Linked DNA regions of Macaca mulatta. The protein of the gene in region 3 interacts with the protein of the main gene of each other region in a biochemical or structural test. Links are inferred from orthologs where the notes say so. Each region holds a gene or a part of one and is shown on either strand. Other genes may lie near its edges.

Region 1 (3,513 bases), on a different chromosome or scaffold from region 3:
TATTCTAGAAACCTAAAGGTGGACTTTCACCTTGCCTGGTTCTCTAGATGCTATGTATCACATCTCTTTTTAAAAATGAACATAATTCACCAATCCTAAGACAGATCAGATCTCGAAGCAGATTGGGAGTTCAGTAAGAATGTGTTGTATTGATCTAAATTAAATAAACAATTGAATATTTAGGATGACCTTTGCCTCGTCATTCCTTTAAGTGATGAGCTACAGTATGTGGTTTCAAATTTGTGGCTTGAATTATTTTAGTATCTCATCTATATATTTTTTGAGAGTGAGAGAATGTGTGTGTTTGAATGTCAAAATCTTTCCTTCCTACTGGGAATTTGGTCATTGAATAACTTCATGTATCCCAAGATTCAGTTATCTGTTGACTGTGTTGCACTGTACTAATTATGATTAGCACAGTACTCAGACCCAAGGAGCTTAATAAAATTATTTGTGTATGTCATTTTTGTTCTTGAAGTTAAAAATTTTCATATTTAAGAAATGATTATTTTCAACCTGAGAAAGCTGATTGCCAAAAAAGGATTATTAAGAGATGATTATTACTAATATCTGTCATCTACTTTCTCTGTGAAGATAGGAAATAAATGGTAGAGAGGTAAATAAATGGTAAAATACAGTGTTAGAGCTCCTTTGCAAAGAAACTATGGTAATTCTTTTTTAAATCAACTTCCAAATCTGCTTTGTAAATTCAGAAATGTGTAAATTCAGTCTTTTTAAAGCAATGAATAATACTTTGCAAATTATATTATACACAGTAAAAAGTAGAATAGCAATAACAGGAGTAATATGAACTCAAAGGTGCTCCTTACTTCATTCTTATTCTTAAATAAAGTATATTTTATGGCTGTTTACAAACCAGTTTTCAAATGGCTGATATGATTTTGACTTTCTTGACTCAACCCAAGAACAGAAAGGTTGGTAGTGGTATGGAGAGAAATACAGTAGATTTGCATATCCCATTAAATGGTTGTTAAATGTCTTAACTAGCTGAGAATTAATTGTTTATTAGCAGTTGTTATTTTTGTTTTTTGTTTGTTTGTTTTGAGATGGAGTATCATTCTGTCACCCAGGCTGGAGTGCAGTGGCGCAATCTCGGCTCACTGCAACATCTGCCTACCAGGTTCAAGCAATTTTCCTGCCCCAGCTTCCTGAGTAGCTGGGACTACAGGCGCATGCCACCATACCCAGCTAATTTTTGTATTTTTCCAGAGACGGGGTTTCACCACATTGGTCAGGCTGGTCTCAAACTCCTGACCTCAGGCAATCCACCCGCCTCGGCCTCCTGAATTGCTGGGATTACAGGTGTGAGCCACGGTACCCGGCCATGTTAAGTTTTTGAAGAGAATTAGAAAACTGTTTCCTCAACTCCAAGATGTTATCGTTGTAAAATGTGTCCTTACGTTTTATACCACTAAGAAAGAAAAATAAGCCTCCAGTTAAGCAACATGCCATCAATTGTAAGATATATACCAATGGGGAAAAAAAAAGTGCTGTTTAGCTGGGATATCTCCCTACTCCCTGAAAAGCAAGTCAGGGTTTTATTAGGAAAGGAAAACGGGAGAATGGATATTTGGTGGCAGTCGTCATCACCATTTCATCTCTATATCATTATTAACCTCTTAAAATATCCATCTTAAGTACATTATGGCAAAGCTTTTTAAAATGGTGGCACTGGAATCTCAAGAAGGTCTCTTCTCATCCTACTCCTTACACAAATTGAAATTAATTGTTGCTGCCTCCTTTCTATATCTTTTTCTTTGGCTATCATTTCATATCCTTTTAATCAATACATTCAACAATTTGATACAATCAGATAATTCTTTCCTAAAGTTTGATTTAGAGTTAAGCATTGTACTCAAAAAGCTACAGGGTAATCTTTCAATTAAAATTTATCTTTTCAGTTCCATAGGGACCAAGGTATTTGTGGATAGCTTCAGGTCTAATAACTTGAACAAAATGTTCTGGCATCTTGAAAAACAAAATTCTTGGAATTTATTCTAGCTTCTCTTCCAAAGGTGTACTGGCCCCATTCCTTAGGTCAATATTGACATTTATCTATCAAGTTTGCAGAAATGCAATGAGTTCTTGCTTCTTCTGTTGTGTATGTGTTAGTGATAGGAAATCGTTTGGTATCTTCTTAGATAATAAATACCATTGGAATGTTTTTCAAGCTGTGACTAAAATGTCTTTGGCATTTTCCATTGTACTTCTTGTATATGTTTATGCCTTCCCTGTCCTCTGTATCTCTAAGGAATGGACCTGACATTAAGATTTCTCCATAGAGCACATGAGGAAGGATTTACTAACAAACTACATTAAACCCTTGATAGCCCCAAACAAGCATCTAAAGAATCACTCTCCTCCATATGACTGTATTTTAATGTTTATGAATATGACTAAGATGGTCACACTTTGAACAGACTCACAAAATAATCTTCAACTTGTTAGTGGTTTCATTTTTTTGAAAACAGAAATTCTAAAAATTACTTATGGAATGTCTGGTGTTTGGGGGATGATGTCAGAAATGAATCTGTTCTGTTGGCCTCAGCCCCACATCAGACTCATCAGAGTCTGCATCTCTTTTCCTTTTTCTGCACATCTACTTTTGTTTCTTCCTAAGTGCTCAGTAATGTAAGGAAGCAGGTTCTAGTTCCCCTATAGAGCTATAAAGCTATACAGGAGACTTAATATTCACATTACTTTGCAGAAAGGTGCTTATGAAAATTCAGAGACTTGGCGGGCTTTGGAAGATGGTTATATAACATTAAAGTATGTTCTCTTCTCTAATGATTTGATCATTTTAACAGTATGGATTAACCCACAGGATTTCCAGTAGACATTTTCAATGGAATAGGAATGGCAATAAAACAAATTACTAACGTGACTGTAGTCCATATATATGTCTATTATTTATATGTAATATACATATACACTTAGAAATGCTATGTTATTTTGCTTGTAGGTATAACATGATTCTAGTTCTGCCTCCTGAACTATTCTTATTTTTATTTTTTTTAGAACACTGATACTTGCATTTAATGGGGAACAAACGATGAAGAAGGAAAAGGAATATATTCACTAAGGATTCTATCTGCGTACTGCTACAGACCTGTGTTTTAAGGAATTCTCCTTCTTCTTGCATAGAAGTTGATCAGCTCTGTGGTCAGACTCATTTATCTTGTCATTGCCAGAAGAAATCCTGGACAGAATGTAACAGTACGTCTCTCTCTGATTGCTATGGAAGGTGATAAACTGATACTCACTTATTAAAGTTACGTCTCACTCACCACAGAAAACCATTCTTTAAAGTGAATAGAAACCAAGCCCTTGTGAACACTTCTATTGAACATGACTCATGGAGAAGAGCTTGGCTCTGATGTGCACCAGGATTCTATTGTTTTAACTTACCTAGAAGGATTACTAATGCATCAGGCAGCAGGGGGATCAGGTACTGCCGTCGACAAAAAGTCTGCTGGGAATAATGAAGAGGAT
Region 2 (4,313 bases), on a different chromosome or scaffold from region 3:
GCTTCCTGATTGGCTGTGATTGGGCTTTAACTGTGGTGAGAGGGCGCATGAAGTGGGTAGGAGCCAGGAGAGTGGTTAGTGAAGGGTTTGGGAACAGGAGAGCAACCTCCTTCCCCTGAGGATAAAGGCAATGAGGTGATGGGATTGTGAACTGATACTGTTCCCTGGAAAATTAGTTCCAGCAACCCTGTGGATTTTTTCCCTTGGGCTACCTCTGATAGGAGCAGGGTGGGCCCTGGAGGTGAGACAGTCCCTTCTATATGCACAAACAACAGTATCAGGCTCCAAGTGTTTCATACCTTTTATTACAAAAATCAATAACTTAATTCAGTTCTGTATAAAGTCAGTAGGACTTCTGGTCCAATGAGCAGCTTAAGCTTTCATTCCCATCCCAACAAGGGACAGGAGTCTTGGCCCAGAGGCTGTGGGGACCACCAAGAGCCTTCCAGGCAGCTGGAGCACTGTGTCCAAACCAAGGAAGTCCAATGTGGGGTGTGGCTGAGTGAAGGGCTGTTCCTAAGGAGCCAAGTGCTGTCTATACAGCCTTGCCCCCTCCGGGAGCATTGGGTCACCTCTGGGGATGGCCAGGCTGAATCAGCACTGCCAGCCTCTGCCCACCTGATCTCTGCCTGGGCTGCAGCTGGTCACCTCAGCAAGAGCATGTCCCCAAGAAGGCCAGCGATGTCAACATCTCCAATGATAGGGCGAAAAAAGAGGTCCCCAAGCAGGCTGGTCGGAATGGACTTGAGGGTGGAGGCTGTGAGGAGGACACGGGCCAGGCGGCCTTGGGCTGCTGGGCACCAGGGCTCCAGGACTTCACACAGCGCCCAGTGAGCCTCCTGCTGCAGGTGCCCAATGTGGGAGGCGGCTTGGAGGCCTGGCACATCTGTGGGCAGAGAGGGAGAAGAGGGTTGGTGAGCATCCTACTCCCAGCCACCAAAGGAAGAGACTGGCCCAAGATCTGGGCCATCAGAGACACCCCTCTGCCTCCTTTGCTCGGCCTTTGAGGTCCCACTACTACCTCCTCCTTTGGAGGAGGTAATTTATTTATCAATTTCCATTGTATTCATCCATCCATTTATGAAGAGGCAGTATGGAGTAATGGTTAAGAATCAGGTTTCCTGAGTATGAATCCCAGTACTGTCACTTAGCTGGGTGACCTTGGGCAAGTAACTTAATCTCTGGGCTTCAGTTTCTTTATTTGTAAAACGAGGATAATAATATTAATAGGACCTGTCTCCTAGGTTTTTATGAGATTTAAATGAACTAGTATATGTAAAACCCTTAGAATAGGGCCTAACATATGGTAAGTGTGATATGAGTATTTGCTACTATTATTGCAATTAACTACTACGATTTATGCGTGCCACAGGGACTCCTGGGGAACGCTCATCTCAGATGCTCTCCAGATTACAAAGAGCACTGTCTCATCTGCCACTCTCCTGGCCAAATTCCACAAAGACTCCCTTCCTGTCCTCCCTACACCCCTTTCAGTTCTCTCTTCTAAGTGATCTTTCTGAACCCACAGAGGAGTTTCAGCTCTAGAGCTTCACCATGCAGCCTTCCTTTGAAGATGTGACTGAGACACAGCTGTGTCTGCCCACCCCACCTCCCCCGCAGCCTTCTCTAAAGGTCAGAGCAAATTTCTCAGGCAGAGTGGCAAGGGCCAGTCTCTGGAGTGAATAGACCTGAGTTGCCATCCTGGTCTGTCCCTACCTGGCTGTGTTACCTTTAGCTCGTCACTTAGCTTCTCTGTACCTCTTCTGTGAGATGGCTATTTGATGAAAATGAGGAACCGGCCAAGCACAGTGGCTCACGCCTGTAATCCAGCACTTTGGGAGGCCAAGGTGGGTGGATCACCAGAGGGATCAGGAGTTCAAGACCAGCTTGACCAACATGGCGAAACCCCGTCTCTACTAAAAAATACAAAAATTAGCCGGGAGTGGTGGCGGGCACCTGTAATCCCAGCTACTTGGGAGGCTGAGGCAGGGAAAATTGCTTGAACCCAGGAGGCAGAGGTTGCAGTGAGCCAAGATCGCGCCATTGCGCTCCAGAGTAGGTGACAGAGTGAGACTCTGTCTCAGAAAAAAAAAAAAAAAGAAAATGTGGACCCCATGAGATTACAGATATCAAACCCTTAGAAGTTACCTTCCCTGGCTGGCTCCTGCTTCAGCCTTGCCCCCTACCCAGGAGTGTCTGGGAGCTCACCAGGGTTGAAGAGGATGGTCCCTTTCAGGCAGGCATATTCCTTGGGGCTCAGCTCCAGGCCCCAGAAGGACTCCAGACAGCACTGAAGCCACTGCACTGCAGCCAGGGAGGGCTGGGGTCTGTCTGGCGGCTGGCCACTGCCTCCACTGCTGCTGGGCTCCTCCAGTAGAATCTTCTTGAGTATGCTGGGCACCGGGGCCTCAGCCACTTCAAAGGTCACAGCATCTTGGGCCAACCCAAGCAGGAAGAGGGGGCCCCAGCAACCCTGCAGCAGCCGCCGCTGGTCCTGGGGAGGCAGCTGCCAGAAGGATGGCAGGTTCCTGAGGAAGGCCACTGTCTTGGCCAGAACATCCAAGGCCTCCCGGCAGGTGCGATGAGGTGCACATAGCTGGACGGGCCGGTGCTGCCTACATAGGCAGCGGCTACGGGGTCGGGGGACAGCCCTGAGGCTGGAGCTCAGAAGTGCGTAGAGAATGGCTGGGCGGCTTGCAGCTCCCTGGCATGGGCAGGCCCCTGGTTGGCTGGTGCTCATGGTTGGGATCTGCCCTTACTTCCAGCTCTCTGGCCCTCTGTTCTGCGCCGTGGGTGCTATTTATATTCCCAGTGAGTGGAAGGGGGGGAATGGCCCGACAACCTTGACTCCAGAAGTCATGTTCATTGAAAAAAACACACAGACACTGCCCCTGGCAGGAATGGTGGGGAAGTGGTGGGGGAGGGGGCATTGGGAACCCCACGTGGCACTGATATCACTTCAGTCAATGAAGTGGCCGGTGCAGGGCACAGGGCCACCTGCCGCTCACTCAGCTGCCCCTTATCGGATGACTCAAGTGGATAAACAAGGTCATTAACCCAGGTTGTACCAGGGCACCAAGGCCCCAGGTGCACAATCAGCAGGTGTCCCCATTGGTGCCTGCTCTTGTGTGCACAAAAGACTAGCGCTTTCGCTAAGCCAGGAAGTCAGCCCCAGAGCTGGGTGGGCCTTGAATGCAAGGCCCGACCTGGAAGTGCCTTATCACTAGCTTGTTTGCCTAACCTTGGGGCCCTGCTTCTGTTGTCGGCCAGGAGCAGGCTACAGGGAAGGGAGCCAGGACCCTGGGGGGGCTGGGAGGACTTTGCCCGCTGTCCAGTCTCGGAGGCCCCCTTCCTCTGGTTTCAGTTCTGGGCCCCCTGCAGGAATAAGGTCCTTCAGAATCCCTATCCCCTGCCTGATTCCTTTTTTTTTTTTTTTTTTTTTTTGAGACGGAGTCTGCTCTGTCGCCCAGGCTGGAGTGCAGTGGCCGGATCTCAGCTCACTGCAAGCTCCACCTCCCGGGTTTACGCCATTCTCCTGCCTCAGCCTCCCGAGTAGCTGGGACTACAGGCGCCCGCCACCTCGCCCGGCTAGTTTTTGTACTTTTTTTTAGTAGAGACGGGGTTTCACCGTGTTAGCCAGGATGGTCTCGATCTCCTGACCTCGTGATCCGCCCGTCTCGGCCTCCCAAAGTGCTGGGATTACAGGCTTGAGCCACCGCGCCCGGCCTTTCCCTGCCTGATTCCTACCACTCCTGAAAGTCCAGTTCTGCTGAGAAGAACTCACAGAGTTATAATAAAAGATAGTTGCCAGCTGGGCATGGTGGCTCATGCCTGTAATCCCAGCACTTTGGGAGGCCGAGGAAGGGGGATCATTTGAGGTCAGGAGTTCAAGACCAGCCTGGCCAACATGGCAAAATCCTGTCTCTACTAAAAATACAAAAATTAGCCGGGCATGGTGGCATGTGCCTGTAGTCCCAGCTACCCTAGAGGCTGAGGCAAAAGAATCACTTGAAACTGGGAGGCAGAGGTTGCAGTGAGCTGAGATCATGCCACTGTACTCCAGCCTGGGCAACAGAGCAAGACCCTGTCTCAAAAAAAAATGTGTGTGTGTGTGTGTGTGTGTGTGTGTGTATATATATATATATGGTTGCCATTCTCTGAGCACCTGTTATGTGTCAGGCACTTCCCACTCTAATATTGGCAGCCTCCTTCTAAGGCTAGATTCTTACTTTGTGAGACTAAAAAAGTTAAAGTGACTTGCCCAAGGTCATCCCACCAGGAAGACCAAGCCCAGATCTTGCCTGACTCCAAAG
Region 3 (4,313 bases):
CCATACTCCTTTCCCAAAACCCAGTAAGTCAAGACAATCCTGGTCATCTTGCCAGGGGCCCTGCCAGCTTCCCACACTCCCAAAACTACCAACACAAGATGGGGGTGGCTACTGAGCAAGCGGAGATTACCCCGCTTATTTGTCGTAGGGACAGGATTACCATCCCCAGATGCCTATCACCCCAGATCGCAGGCAGTGCTCCCAAATATTAATAGACCCCACAGAGGCCAAAACACACCCACCCCTCCAGCCCAGCCTAAGTCCTATCCGGCTCATGCTTCCAAGAGGACTGGAAACTGGGCATTGGGGTTTGTATTTTGGGACAGGCCCCACCCTCACATCACACAGTTCTGAGGACCATCCCACCTGAGACTGGAGTCTGAGCAAGGAGTGGCCTGGGAGGAAAGGTCCCAGAGGGCAAGAGTCAGCTTCCAAGACTAAATGGTTTAGGGGAAGGGGTGCTCATTAGCTGGGGTCTGGGTGAATGTCCCCAAAACAGAACTGAGGGGCCACTCCGACAATGTCCTCTCCCCCATACTTAGATGGGGTGGCAGGAACCACGTCATGGCACATGTGGGTGACTATGCCCAGCGGGGGAGGCACATGGGCGATCAGGATGGGGCTGCCCACAGCTGGCTTCCTGCCAGGCTGCCTCAAGGTTGGGAGTAGGAAGGGGACTAAAAAGGAGTCCCAGGGTGGCAGCTGGGGCATTTAGGGTCAGACTGAAGGGCTAGAGATTTAGGGGCTATAGGAAGGAGGAGGTGGCCAGGATTAAGCCATTCCAAGCCCAGGATCTTCTCAGAACTGCCACTGCATCTGTGCCACCGTTGTCAGTCTGATGGTGAAACCCCTGCAGTGACACCTCATGTACACTCACTCATACCCTCAAAATCCTTGCAAATCCAAGATCCTCAGCTCCCAAGAGGCTACTCCAGTCTGACCCTCCTGACCTCTCTTTCAGGAAACCACATGGTCCAGACTCCCAGGCAGTACTGATGTCCCAGCTCCTCCTAGCATACCATCTTTCACAGCCACAAACTCCCAGACTCCACAACCACCCCCTCTTCTTCCTCCAGGAAGAAGCATCATACAACCAACTCCAAATATTTTTTCTCTTGTTCCTCCCCCCTAGCCTCATCTCCACCCGCCCCCCCCCTCGGCCCACTCCAGGGGAAGCCCCAAGGCTCCAAGCCACCCCCACTCCAACCTGGGGCTTCCCCGGCACAGCCTCCTCATCGAGCCCTGTAGGAGAGTTTGGGGCCTGAGGTCCAATTTCCTAGCAAGACCTGGAAGGTCCTTACAGAACCACTTCCCCAAAACAATCTTGCCCTATGAAGACTGCAGACAGGGAAGGGTATAAGAGACATCCCAGAATGTCCTGGCCAGGAAAGTGAGGAGAGGGAGTGTCAAGGGCAGAAGTGATCCTTGGGGTAAGCAGCAGGGCGTGGGGAGTTGGGCGGTGTTCTCAGAAACAATCCTTTCCAAGAATATATACATACACATATGTGCACACAGCCATCAGACAGAAGGCAACCTGGTTACAGAAGACAGAGCCAGAGGGGGCAGGAGGTACCCTTCCAGGCCATCACACTGGGCATCCGATCCAAGACAGGATGGAGGGTGCGGAAGCATCTCCAAGGCTGGGGAGCTCTTCTGTCTGGTTTCCGGATTAGTTGGTCCCCATCCCCACCCTAACACATTGGAGGCCTGTCCTTCGCAAGGAGCAGCCTGACAATAGGGCAGTGCCCAGAGAGAAGATGAGGGGACATAGCCAAGCTCATATCCCAGCCGCCCCCCCAACCCCACAACAGGCTCACACACACATCTGGCCAGCAGCTTCCAAGCCTCGTGGGTGGCACCAGGTCCCAGACACCCTCAGCAGAGCAAAGTCCACCAGTCTATTCCGTCTTTCCCTCACCCCAAAAAGCTCCCACACCCCATGGTGGTACAAGACCCAGGAACACCCCTACATACATACTGCACTGGCTCCTGCACCCAATTCTGAGTGAGTTCCCCTCACTCCACGGGGGACACCAGCTGAGCGGGCCCCGCCCCCGGCCGGCTCCCTCTGGTGGGAGTGGGCCCCCTGGCTGATTCTCCCCAAACCACAGGGCAGCTCAGATAACAGGAGGGAAAAAGAGAGGGGGCTAGTCCGTTGAGCATCCGATCTCTCCCCAAACAGGTTTGAAAGCCTTTTTGTTTTGCTTGTTTTTAAAGAGAAAAAGAGAGAACAGGAGTTCCCAGCGGTGGTTCTGCAACAGCTTGAGCGCGGGGGACACGCGCAGCAGACGGCCACAGACACCTCAAGGCTGCGCGCGAAGACACGGCGCAGGCAGACGCACAGACGGGGCTCCCCCACCCTGGACACGGCGGCAGCGAGTTGGGAAGCCCAGGAAACCCCGGGTTCCGTCGGAAGCCTCCCGGCACCCAGTCCCCTCCCGCAGCGCCAATCTGGGGCAGGACATGGGGCCCCGACGCCTGTGGGAACCAGGGGCTCCCCAAAATCCCCGGGGGAGGAGTTACCTCGCAGCCGGGGACGCAACCCGTTCGGGGTGCCCGCGAGCACAGCGTCTGCCCTAACCCGGCGCCCTGGTGCTGCTCGGCATCAGGGTGCGGGGTCCCGGGAGAGGAGCCGTCCGGGGGGCCGCGGCTCAGGGGCGCGGGGCGACGGCAGCGGCCATAGCGAGTCACGTGCGGAGGCTGAAACTTTACCCGGAGCCCCAGACTGAAGGGGCGGAGGGTACGGAGCAGAGGTGGGGGGAGGCCTTCTCCCTCAGGCCCGCCCCTGCTCGCCCACCGACCAATCATCAGTCAGGGGCGGATCTACAGACTCACGCCCGCCCCCGCCTCTCCTTAATAGACCCCGAGAAGGGCGAGTCTTAAAGGAGCCGCTCCTAGCTGAAGACTAGACCGTGGGAATCCGGGAGAATCCCTCCCTCAGACCCAGAACCGAAGATTCAGAGCGACAGGGGGGGTGAGGTTCTGCGGAAAGAATGAAAATAGCGCTCGGTGGAGAAGACCGCAGCGTGTGGTATCCTACACTCCTTTCCCCCCAACCACACACACACCCACACCTAAACCCGAGAAGTGAGGCGGCGGCGTAACATGGAAGTGAGTGCGGTGACTCCTGCCCTAGCTGTCAAGCCCTTGAATCCTATAATTATAATCCTCTTCCAGGGACCAGCTGGAACTGAGAGCTGTGTGACCTTGACCAAGTCACTTCCCTTCCCTGGATCTTAAGTATCTCAGCTGCAAGAAGTAAAAAAAAAAGAGTCCAGGAGTAGATCTCCCGCAAGTACATCTCTTCTTTCCCCAAACACCTTTCCAGCTCCAGTGGGTCCTAGGAACTCTGGCTCAACCCAACCCCGCAACCCCCCAACCCCCTTAAAGTACTCTTCTCAAAGGGCAAGACTTTTGGATCTTCCAGTAGGGGCGCCCAGGAGCACCCCTCCGTGCTCAAAGACTCAGACTCAAGCTTCTCTCTCCCGAACAAGTCTGGAGAAGCCAGGAAAGCTCTTGTTCATATTCCAACTGGACAGGATCTGAATCACCCTCCATCTGAGAGACCCCAGTCCCCAACACAGTCATGACCCCGCTCCCAGCCTGCTGCTCTGTTTGGGAGGATCCTGTCCCCATCGCTAGCAGTCCACTGGCGAGCTTAGGGGGAAGCAGAATCGCTTAGGGAATACTCCCCTCTCGCCCTGTTCCCAGGCAGAGAAGTGGCCACGAGTGCCCCCACAGAACTTCCCACTGGAAGCGGAAGTGCTGCACTCCCAGGCCTCCAGCCCAGTGAGGAGACTCTCAGCCTGACTCGGTGGCAGAGCTCTCAGACCCACTGGTCCGACGGCGGCCGCCGCTTTACAGAGGAAAGAGAGGCCAAGAGCAGGCACTGGGTTTTGTCTACGGTCGCACCAGTTGCAGAGCCGGGTCTAGAACTGAAGTATCTGATTGTCCCTGGCTTTAGCCCAAGAGCCGTGGTAAGGTAGGACAAGCCAGGATGGCGGGACGCTCTGCCCTGAGGGCCGGCGCACGGGAAACTGCCCCAGCAGTGCTGGGCCGCGCTTCCCCAGGCCCCTTCCCGCCCGCTGGGCCGGAGCTGTCTCCCGCTCCCGTCTGGATTTCCGTCTGCCGGTGCGAACCTCCCGCCCAGCCCCTCCCGCCCTGTCCTGTCCAGATTCATCCGCAAACATGCGCTCAGCCGGCAGGAATGCGCCAATGGCTCCCAGATGTGGACGCCACCGCTTAACCCCTTACCCCCCAGCCGCGCTCCCCCAAGGGCCTTCCAGCCTGAGCCCCGACAACAGCAGGGAGCT
Region 4 (4,003 bases), on a different chromosome or scaffold from region 3:
CCATCCTGGCTAACACGGTGAAACCTCGTCTCTACTAAAAATGCAAAAAATTAGCCGGGCGAGGCGGCGGGCGCCTGTAGTCCCAGCTACTCGGGAGGCTGAGGCAGGAGAATGGCGTGAACCCGGGAGGCGGAGCTTGCAGTGAGCCGAGATTGCGCCATTGCACTCCAGCCTGGGCGACTAAGCGAGACTCTGTCTCAAAAAAAAAAAAATAAAAATAAAAATAAAAAAAATAAAAAAAATAAAACAAGTATATGAATATTAGATTTGTATATGTTGGAAACTATATTTCCATATAATTGGTGTTCCTTATAATTCAATGTACTTTATTTTATACAACTAAAAAATATTATTCTGAAAGGGGTCCATGGCACAGATAAGGTGAGGTCTTCCTTCATTAGAAAAACCCAGGTGGCTCATGCCTGTAATCCCAGCATTTTGGGAGGCCGAGGTGGGCAGATCACTTGAGCTCAGGAGCTCAAGACCAGCCTGGGCAACATGTTGAAATCCCATCTCCAAAAATTAAAAAAAAAAAAGAAAAGAAAAACCCAGAACAAATGAATTGTGTTGCAGTATATACATATGGTATTGACAATCTTATTTTATATTTGCCCTCATAACCTTTCTGTTCATTAATTCTCTTTGATTATATGGGGCCCTGGACCTATTTTCCATGACTAGTTTGCATATTTCCTTCAGAACTCTCCCATAGCCCATGCGAACTTTGAATTCTTCTCTAACATGATCCAACTTCAATTAACAAAATAGACACTCTGGGTCTTTACAATTTTTCACTTTTCTTTTTTAGGATTTTGTGTCCCTTTGTGGTAAACACCTAGAAGAGAAGAAGTATTTCTTTTTTCTTTTTTTTTTTTTTAGACAGTGTCTTACTCTGTAATCCAGGCTGGAATATCATGGAACGATCACAGCACGGCTCATTGCAGCCTTGGCCTCCCAGGCTCAAGCGATCCTTCCACCTCAGCCTCCTGAGTGGCTGGGACTAAAAGTACAAGCCACATCAGGTGGCTAATTTTTTTTATTTTTTTGTAGAGATGGGGTCTCCCAGCTCCTGGGCTCAAGCAATCCTCCCGCCTTGGCCTCCCAAAGTGCTGGAATTACAGGCATGAGCCACTATGGCTTGCCGGAGCATCTCTTAAAACTCTACAAAGTTAGAAGGTCTCAAAGACAACTTCTTTGCACAATTAGAGATGAGCCAGGAAATACCAAAAAACTGGCTGCCTACCCTCTTTTGTATTCCCTTCAGCCTTTGTATTGCCAAAGTCATTAAAGGAACAAAACAAATTTAATAGTTATCTGGTATATACTGTTACGCTTCACTTCTTATTGTTTTTGTTTGTTTGCTTTTAGTTTCATCACAAGAATGTTATGGTTCATTTCTTAACACCTTTCTCCCAGCTAGCAAACTCCTTTAAGGCAATGTGTTTAGTGAGCAGGCAGCTGACCATTTCCAGTAGACCCTCTGCTACTAACTTGTAAGATCTTGAAAAGTCAACTTTACCTTTCTGTTTCAGCTAAAATCACTACCTGATTTGAAATCTTTACTTGATCTCTCAGGCCTTTGTAGTTTTTATACATTCACTCTTCTTCACCATTTTACTGGCTTCAATAACGCCTTTCGGATGACCTCTCCAGGTGACCCTGCTCTTAAGCTGTGGGCTGTCCCCTTCCAGGGAAGACACCTTGGGTCACCGCCCCCAAACAGCCGGGTCCCTCCTTTTAAAGACACACACAATTCCCTAAGTTGATAAAGGTTCTTTCCTTTCTTGCCAACCAGTTCCACTCTCTGTGCCTCTTTTGCCGGTCAGCTCCTGCACCCAAACCTCAGTCCCCTTCTGTCCCCCTTTTCTCTCATCAAACACCTCCTTTTTCCTGTTGCTTCCCCCAATAGGGGGTGGAGGATGCTTGGAACGTAAGTCTTCAGAGCCTTGGGAGTTATACAGCTTTGCAAATCAGCCCCAGTACCCCAAGGACTGCCCCAATCTGATACCAGCGTCTGTACCCAAAGGGCCCTCATTCCTCATCCATCACCTCCTTCCCTCCCCGCAAAGAACTGCTCCAGCCCTGACAGCCTAAGCTTGGCCCCCATGCCTCCACCCCAATCACCAGGTTCTACCTGCACTAGTGCCCTAAGCCCGCCTAAGGCCTAACCCAGTTCCACGTCCTGCCATCCTCTCAGCCCATGGACCCCAATCCTGGTTCCTTTCGGATCCAGTGTTCCTTCTCCACGACCCTGACCACGACCCCACTACTGGCTCCCGCCTGTTCCCCGGGCCTGGAGCGCCACCCCGTGCAGACCCCGGCCAGCCCTGCACTCCCTCAGTGCGCCGGCCCCAGCGCCCAGCACCCTCCCCACCCCGCCGGGCCGCCGCTCCCTCCAGCGCCCCCGCCCGCAGGCCTGGGGCCCGCTCCCCAACATGGCGACGGGGACACAAGCGCGGCGGGCGGGGCGGCTCCGGGCCGGGCCCGCACTCAGACCGTGCCACTCGGTCGCCCGGCGCCATTTTCCCGCGCCGGGCCCGGGCGGCGCCTCCTCCCCGCGAAGCCAGCCCGACAAGGACCGCGGACACCCGGCGGGCCCACCCCTTACGGGCCCGCGCCGCCGTCGTCTCACCTGAGCGCGGCCCCAGCCCTCCCGGGCGGGCCTTGGAGCGCCAGCCCCGGCCGTGCGTGCCCGCCGCCCTCCGTGCGTCCGTCCGTCAGTCCTCGCGTGCGCCCGTCTGTCCGGCCACCCGCGCCCGGCCGCCCGCAGCCCGACCCGGCAGGGCCTCACGGAGCCGGCGGGGAGGGGGATGGGCCGGACCGGGCCGGGGAGGGAGGGGGAGGGAGGGAAAGAGGGAGGGAGCGCCAGAGGGGGCGGGGCGGACTCGAGGGGCGGGGCATTGCCCACGTGACCAGACGTCCCCGGGAGCGCGAGGTGGAGTGCGCGCCAGCTCGCTTGGGTGCTGTGTGCTTAGTGCTGGGATCTCGTGGGTCTCTGTCGGCTTCCCAGTGCTATTCTCTCGCCAGTGAGTCCCGCTGGGGAAACACACACCGAACAGCCTTTTGCGAGCGCACTGAGTATCCTTGGAAATGGCAACTCCAAACCTCAGTTTACCCATCTGAAATATGGGGAAAATCATAGTTCTTGTGAGGAGGAAATGGAGGTAGGCATGGAAGGCACTTGTCACCGTGCCTGACACATAGTGTCTAATAATAAGCTTCATGGAATATAGATAAAAGCTTTCACTATTATTTGCCTCTAAATCCCTCTCTTCTTTTTCCCATCATTACCTCCCTAGCAAGCTAAAATGCTCAGGAAATAGAATTATTGATCGAACGAGTGTGGCCCCTCCCCACTTCCCAAATGTAGAAAGGCCTCCTCAGCACTGGCCTTGACGTCTTCATACAGGCCTGGATTCATATCTGGCTTTCACTCTTTTTTTAAAATTTTTTGGGCCGGGCGCGGTGGCTCAAGCCTGTAATCCCAGCACTTTGGGAGGCCGAGACGGGCGGATCACGAGGTCAGGAGATCGGGACCATCCTGGCTAACACGGTGAAACCCCGTCTCTACTAAAAAATACAAAAAACTAGCCGGGCGTGGTGGCGGGCGCCTGTAGTCCCAGCTACTCGGGAGGCTGTGGCAGGAGAATGGCGTAAACCCGGGAGGCGGAGCTTGCAGTGAGCTGAGATCCAGCCACTGCACTCCAGCCTGGGCGACAGAGCGAGACCGCGTCTCAAAAAAAAAAAAAAAAATTTTTGTTTTTGTTTTCTTTTTTCCCACACTACACTGATGTATTTTTTAAATTTTTGTAAGTACGTAGTAGGTGAATATATTTATGGGGTACATGAGATTTTGATACAGGCATACATCATGTAATAATCACATCATGGTAAATGGGGTATCTAGCACCTCAAGCATTTATCCTTTGTGTTACAAACAACCCAATTACACTCTAGTTATTTTAAAATGTACAGCTAAATTGTGTGTGTGTGGTTTTTGTGT
Region 5 (3,513 bases), on a different chromosome or scaffold from region 3:
AAGGGAAGAACAAAAAGATTTATCCTGGAAGCAAAGGTGATAAGGAGACCCCTGCAGACTAGTTTAGATACAAACATATGTATATTGATACATAGCAGGAAACTGGAATTATACACACTCATTTTACCAAAAAGAAGCATCTTTAGAATACAAAACATGTGTATAAGTAACTCTTATTGCCACACCTGACTCCACCACTACACATTCATCTGTACTCAGAACCCATCACAAGATATAAATCCAAACAAGTGGTCATATGTGTTATGTACTTATATCACAATAGGTAAATACACCCACATATAGACATCAGTATGTTTAAGAATTATATTCAAAACTGTACACACATAAATGGATATAGTTTCAGATAAATCTACTTTAGCCAAAACAAAAACAGGATCTCCTAGTCTAATAGTTTGTGAAACCAGTATAAGGAAGTTAAACAATATATTTTACTGTAGAATTTCTCAGAGCTGTCACTTACAGCACTGTAAATTTATAAACAGTGAGATTTACATTGTAAATCTCTAAAGAAGGAGACAAGTTTCCTAAACTTGTTACCCATGGCTTCTGAGAAACGTATAAGAACACTAGGGAAAAATATTGGTCTAGGTGAATATTTTGTTACTGTCTTGAGTGACTTTGGATAAGTTTTACAACCTCTCTAAACCTTAGATCCCTTATGTGTAAAAGAGAATGTTATTGTTTCTTTTAAACATATGCATACACCTACCTGTAGTAGTGAATTACACACAGTAAACATTTAATGAATAACTATATATTTTTAGAATGCATATGAGTAATCATAAACATTTGAGTTTCTACTGTTGAAATCAAGCTTGAATCAGACCTTTCAAAGGCACCATTAAACTCTTAAAACTAGTTTTAAGCTGGTCAATGTATTCTGTATCAAAAAGTTAACATAGTATGCATTGTAAAGGTATAGGAAACTTGAGAGATCACAACTTGTTAATAGTAAATATTCAGAAATACTTTTTGGGATTGTTTTTAGAGCCAATGTCAGGTTTGCTTGTTTTGATATATGACAGCAGTTCTCAGAGTATAGTCTGGTACTCTATCAGGGGACCACAAAGGTCACCCTTTTCCAACTACACGTCTGGATGAATGTTGTGCCAGACCCCTATTCACTTCAGTAGGGATAGGACCATGTTTGAGAGGCCCAAGAAGAGAGGCCCAAGAAGAGACCTGGAGCTAGTGAATGAGACACAGGGCTTATTGAGGGAACTTACATACAGGACAGTCCAGTGGCAGTGGGCTGGACAAGAGAACCACCAGCAAGTAGTTAATATAGCACTTAGCACCCTCCCGCTAGCAACCTCCATGTGGCAACCTTCATTTAACACAAAGCACAAGTCCTCCATCCCCGATATGGCCTGGATTCCACAGGCTGGCCTGGGAGTTCAGATATTCTTCACTGATAAAGAATGGATCTCTGGGTTGGCCACTCCTGGGTTCCTTAGCGCGGAACTCCAAACACACATTCTCCTTAGGCTATACAGGGTCACTCTCAGGGTAGACTTAAGTTATTGCTGTCAGGTGCTGTCTGCCATACAGTAAGACTGAAATTTTTTTCATATATTTTAACTTAACAATATATTATGATAGATAGTGCAGAAACAGATAATGAGATTTCAGCTATTAAGCCAGACATTCAAAGAGATTTTTTAAAACATCAAACAGTATTTTAAAATATCAAAAATGTTTACCAAATTTTTTACAACGTAGTTTTATAAAAACATGTTGTTATGGTTTTATTATTCTTAAATGAATTAGTTTTAAAAATTATTTTTAATTTCTAATATTATAAATTTTGATGACTAGAACTTAGATGAACAAAAGCTGTTTGGGGGTCCTCTGTCTTTCAGAGTGTAAAAGGGCTCATGAGACCAGGAATTCCTTGGCAATTTTGAAGTTCTGCAAAAATAGTCTTAGAAAATGTGATACTTCACCAACTATCTGAAAAACTTTTTCCCTTAACCTTTTCTTTTTAATTAGGTTCTTTAGTAATTGAGGATAAAGAGAGCCAGCCACAAATGCCTAAGCAGAATCCTGTCGTGGAACAGAATTCACAGCCACCAAGTGGTTTATCATCAAACCAGTTATCCAAGTTCCCAACACAGATCAGCCTAGCTCAATTACGGCTCCAGCATATGCAGCAACAGGTAATGGCTCAGAGGCAACAGGTGCAACGGAGGCCAGCACCTGTGGGTTTACCAAACCCTAGAATGCAGGGGCCCATCCAGCAACCTTCCATCTCTCATCAGGTAAATTTGGAAGCAGGCCTGTCCTCACTTAGATAATTATAGTATAATTGTGTTGAGCAGCTCAAAATGACAAAGACATCCATTTTCCATAATCTAAATATCTGCATTTATAAAAATTTATCACATTAAGGATCCCTGATTTAATGCCTAGTTTTTAATCCCTACTTAAAAAGGATTTAATGGTTTGTTTAGCTGATAAATCTATTTTCATCTACTCTTCATTGTCTTTAAATTATAGCAGAGGATAAATGTTTGTATTCCTAAATAACCCAGGCCTGTAATTGATGGGAAAAGTTGTGTACCTGTTAATTCCTATACTGGTGCTTCAGAATGATGAATACATTAAGAATCTGTCCTCTGTGAGGATGTGGTGTTTAGTAAACCACATTGCATCTTAGAAACTAGGGCAGAGTGAAATACAAAAGGGCAGAAGTGTGGTTCATTATAATATACCTTTTTCAAACTCTATTTCTGAGCAAATATACTGTTTACCATTCTTATTTTTACTGTAATCCAATTTTTTTTTTTTTTTTTTGAGATGTAGTCTCACTCTGTAACTCAGGCTGGAGTGCAGTGGCACGATCTCAGCTCACTGCAACGTCTGCCTCCCAGGTTGAAGCGATTCTCATGCCTCAGCCTCCCGAGTAGCTGGGATTACAAGTGTGCGCCACCACGCCCGGCTAATTTTTGTATTTTTAGTAGAGACAGGGTTTCACCATGTTGGCCAGGTTGGTCCCAAACTCCTGACCTCAGGTGATCCCGCCTCAGCCTCCCAAAGTGCTGGGATTACAGGTGTGAGCCACTGTGCCCAGCCTCAGTCCAACTTTTGAAGATAAAATATATATACTTTTGTTAAATAGTTTAACTCTGCTTTTCAGGTTAGATGTGGGCAGACTTATTTTAATAAAAGTTTAGTAAGGAATATAAAGTCTAATTTATATAAACTGTTGTTTTCAGTTACATTTACTTACACTTTTTTTTATATATATAGACAGAGTTTTACTCTTGTTGCTTAGGTTGGAGTGCAATGGTGCCATCTCGGCTCAGCACAACCTCTGCCTCTCCTGGGTTGAAGCAATTTTCCTGCCTCAGCCTCCCGAGTAGCTGAGATTACAGGCATGTGCCACCATGCCGGCTAATTTTGTATTTTTAGTAGAGACGGGGTTTCTTCATGTTGGTCAGGTTGGTCTCGAACTCCGACCTCAGGTGATCCTCGCACCTCGGCCTCCCA

Evidence for each region.
Region 1: the proteins of RARA (region 3) and NRIP1 form a complex in vitro, tested with the Homo sapiens proteins (4 studies listed by BioGRID). The link is inferred for Macaca mulatta from reciprocal best matches to the Homo sapiens genes RARA and NRIP1.
Region 2: the proteins of RARA (region 3) and NR0B2 form a complex in vitro, tested with the Homo sapiens proteins (2 studies listed by BioGRID). The link is inferred for Macaca mulatta from reciprocal best matches to the Homo sapiens genes RARA and NR0B2.
Region 4: the proteins of RARA (region 3) and NCOA6 form a complex in vitro, tested with the Homo sapiens proteins (3 studies listed by BioGRID). The link is inferred for Macaca mulatta from reciprocal best matches to the Homo sapiens genes RARA and NCOA6.
Region 5: the proteins of RARA (region 3) and TRIM24 form a complex in vitro, tested with the Homo sapiens proteins (3 studies listed by BioGRID). The link is inferred for Macaca mulatta from reciprocal best matches to the Homo sapiens genes RARA and TRIM24.

Annotation. Positions count from the first base shown.
Region 1 is NC_133408.1:32,761,711-32,765,223, forward strand, and holds part of NRIP1 (nuclear receptor-interacting protein 1), read left to right. Parts: intron 1-3,039; 5' UTR 3,040-3,369; coding exon 3,370-3,513. UniProt on the Homo sapiens protein: Modulates transcriptional activation by steroid receptors such as NR3C1, NR3C2 and ESR1. Also modulates transcriptional repression by nuclear hormone receptors.
Region 2 is NC_133406.1:214,067,656-214,071,968, reverse strand, and holds NR0B2 (nuclear receptor subfamily 0 group B member 2), read right to left. Parts: upstream 2,802-4,313; 5' UTR 2,741-2,801; coding exon 2,209-2,740; intron 887-2,208; coding exon 645-886; 3' UTR 289-644; downstream 1-288. UniProt on the Homo sapiens protein: Transcriptional regulator that acts as a negative regulator of receptor-dependent signaling pathways. Specifically inhibits transactivation of the nuclear receptor with which it interacts.
Region 3 is NC_133421.1:64,701,018-64,705,330, reverse strand, and holds the start of RARA (retinoic acid receptor alpha), read right to left. Parts: upstream 2,807-4,313; 5' UTR 2,524-2,806; exon of another isoform or gene 2,218-2,523; intron 1-2,217. UniProt on the Homo sapiens protein: Receptor for retinoic acid. Retinoic acid receptors bind as heterodimers to their target response elements in response to their ligands, all-trans or 9-cis retinoic acid, and regulate gene expression in various biological processes.
Region 4 is NC_133415.1:87,616,641-87,620,643, forward strand, and holds the start of NCOA6 (nuclear receptor coactivator 6), read right to left. Parts: upstream 2,813-4,003; 5' UTR 2,633-2,812; intron 1-2,632. UniProt on the Homo sapiens protein: Nuclear receptor coactivator that directly binds nuclear receptors and stimulates the transcriptional activities in a hormone-dependent fashion. Coactivates expression in an agonist- and AF2-dependent manner.
Region 5 is NC_133408.1:178,386,158-178,389,670, forward strand, and holds part of TRIM24 (transcription intermediary factor 1-alpha), read left to right. Parts: intron 1-2,013; coding exon 2,014-2,282; intron 2,283-3,513. UniProt on the Homo sapiens protein: Transcriptional coactivator that interacts with numerous nuclear receptors and coactivators and modulates the transcription of target genes.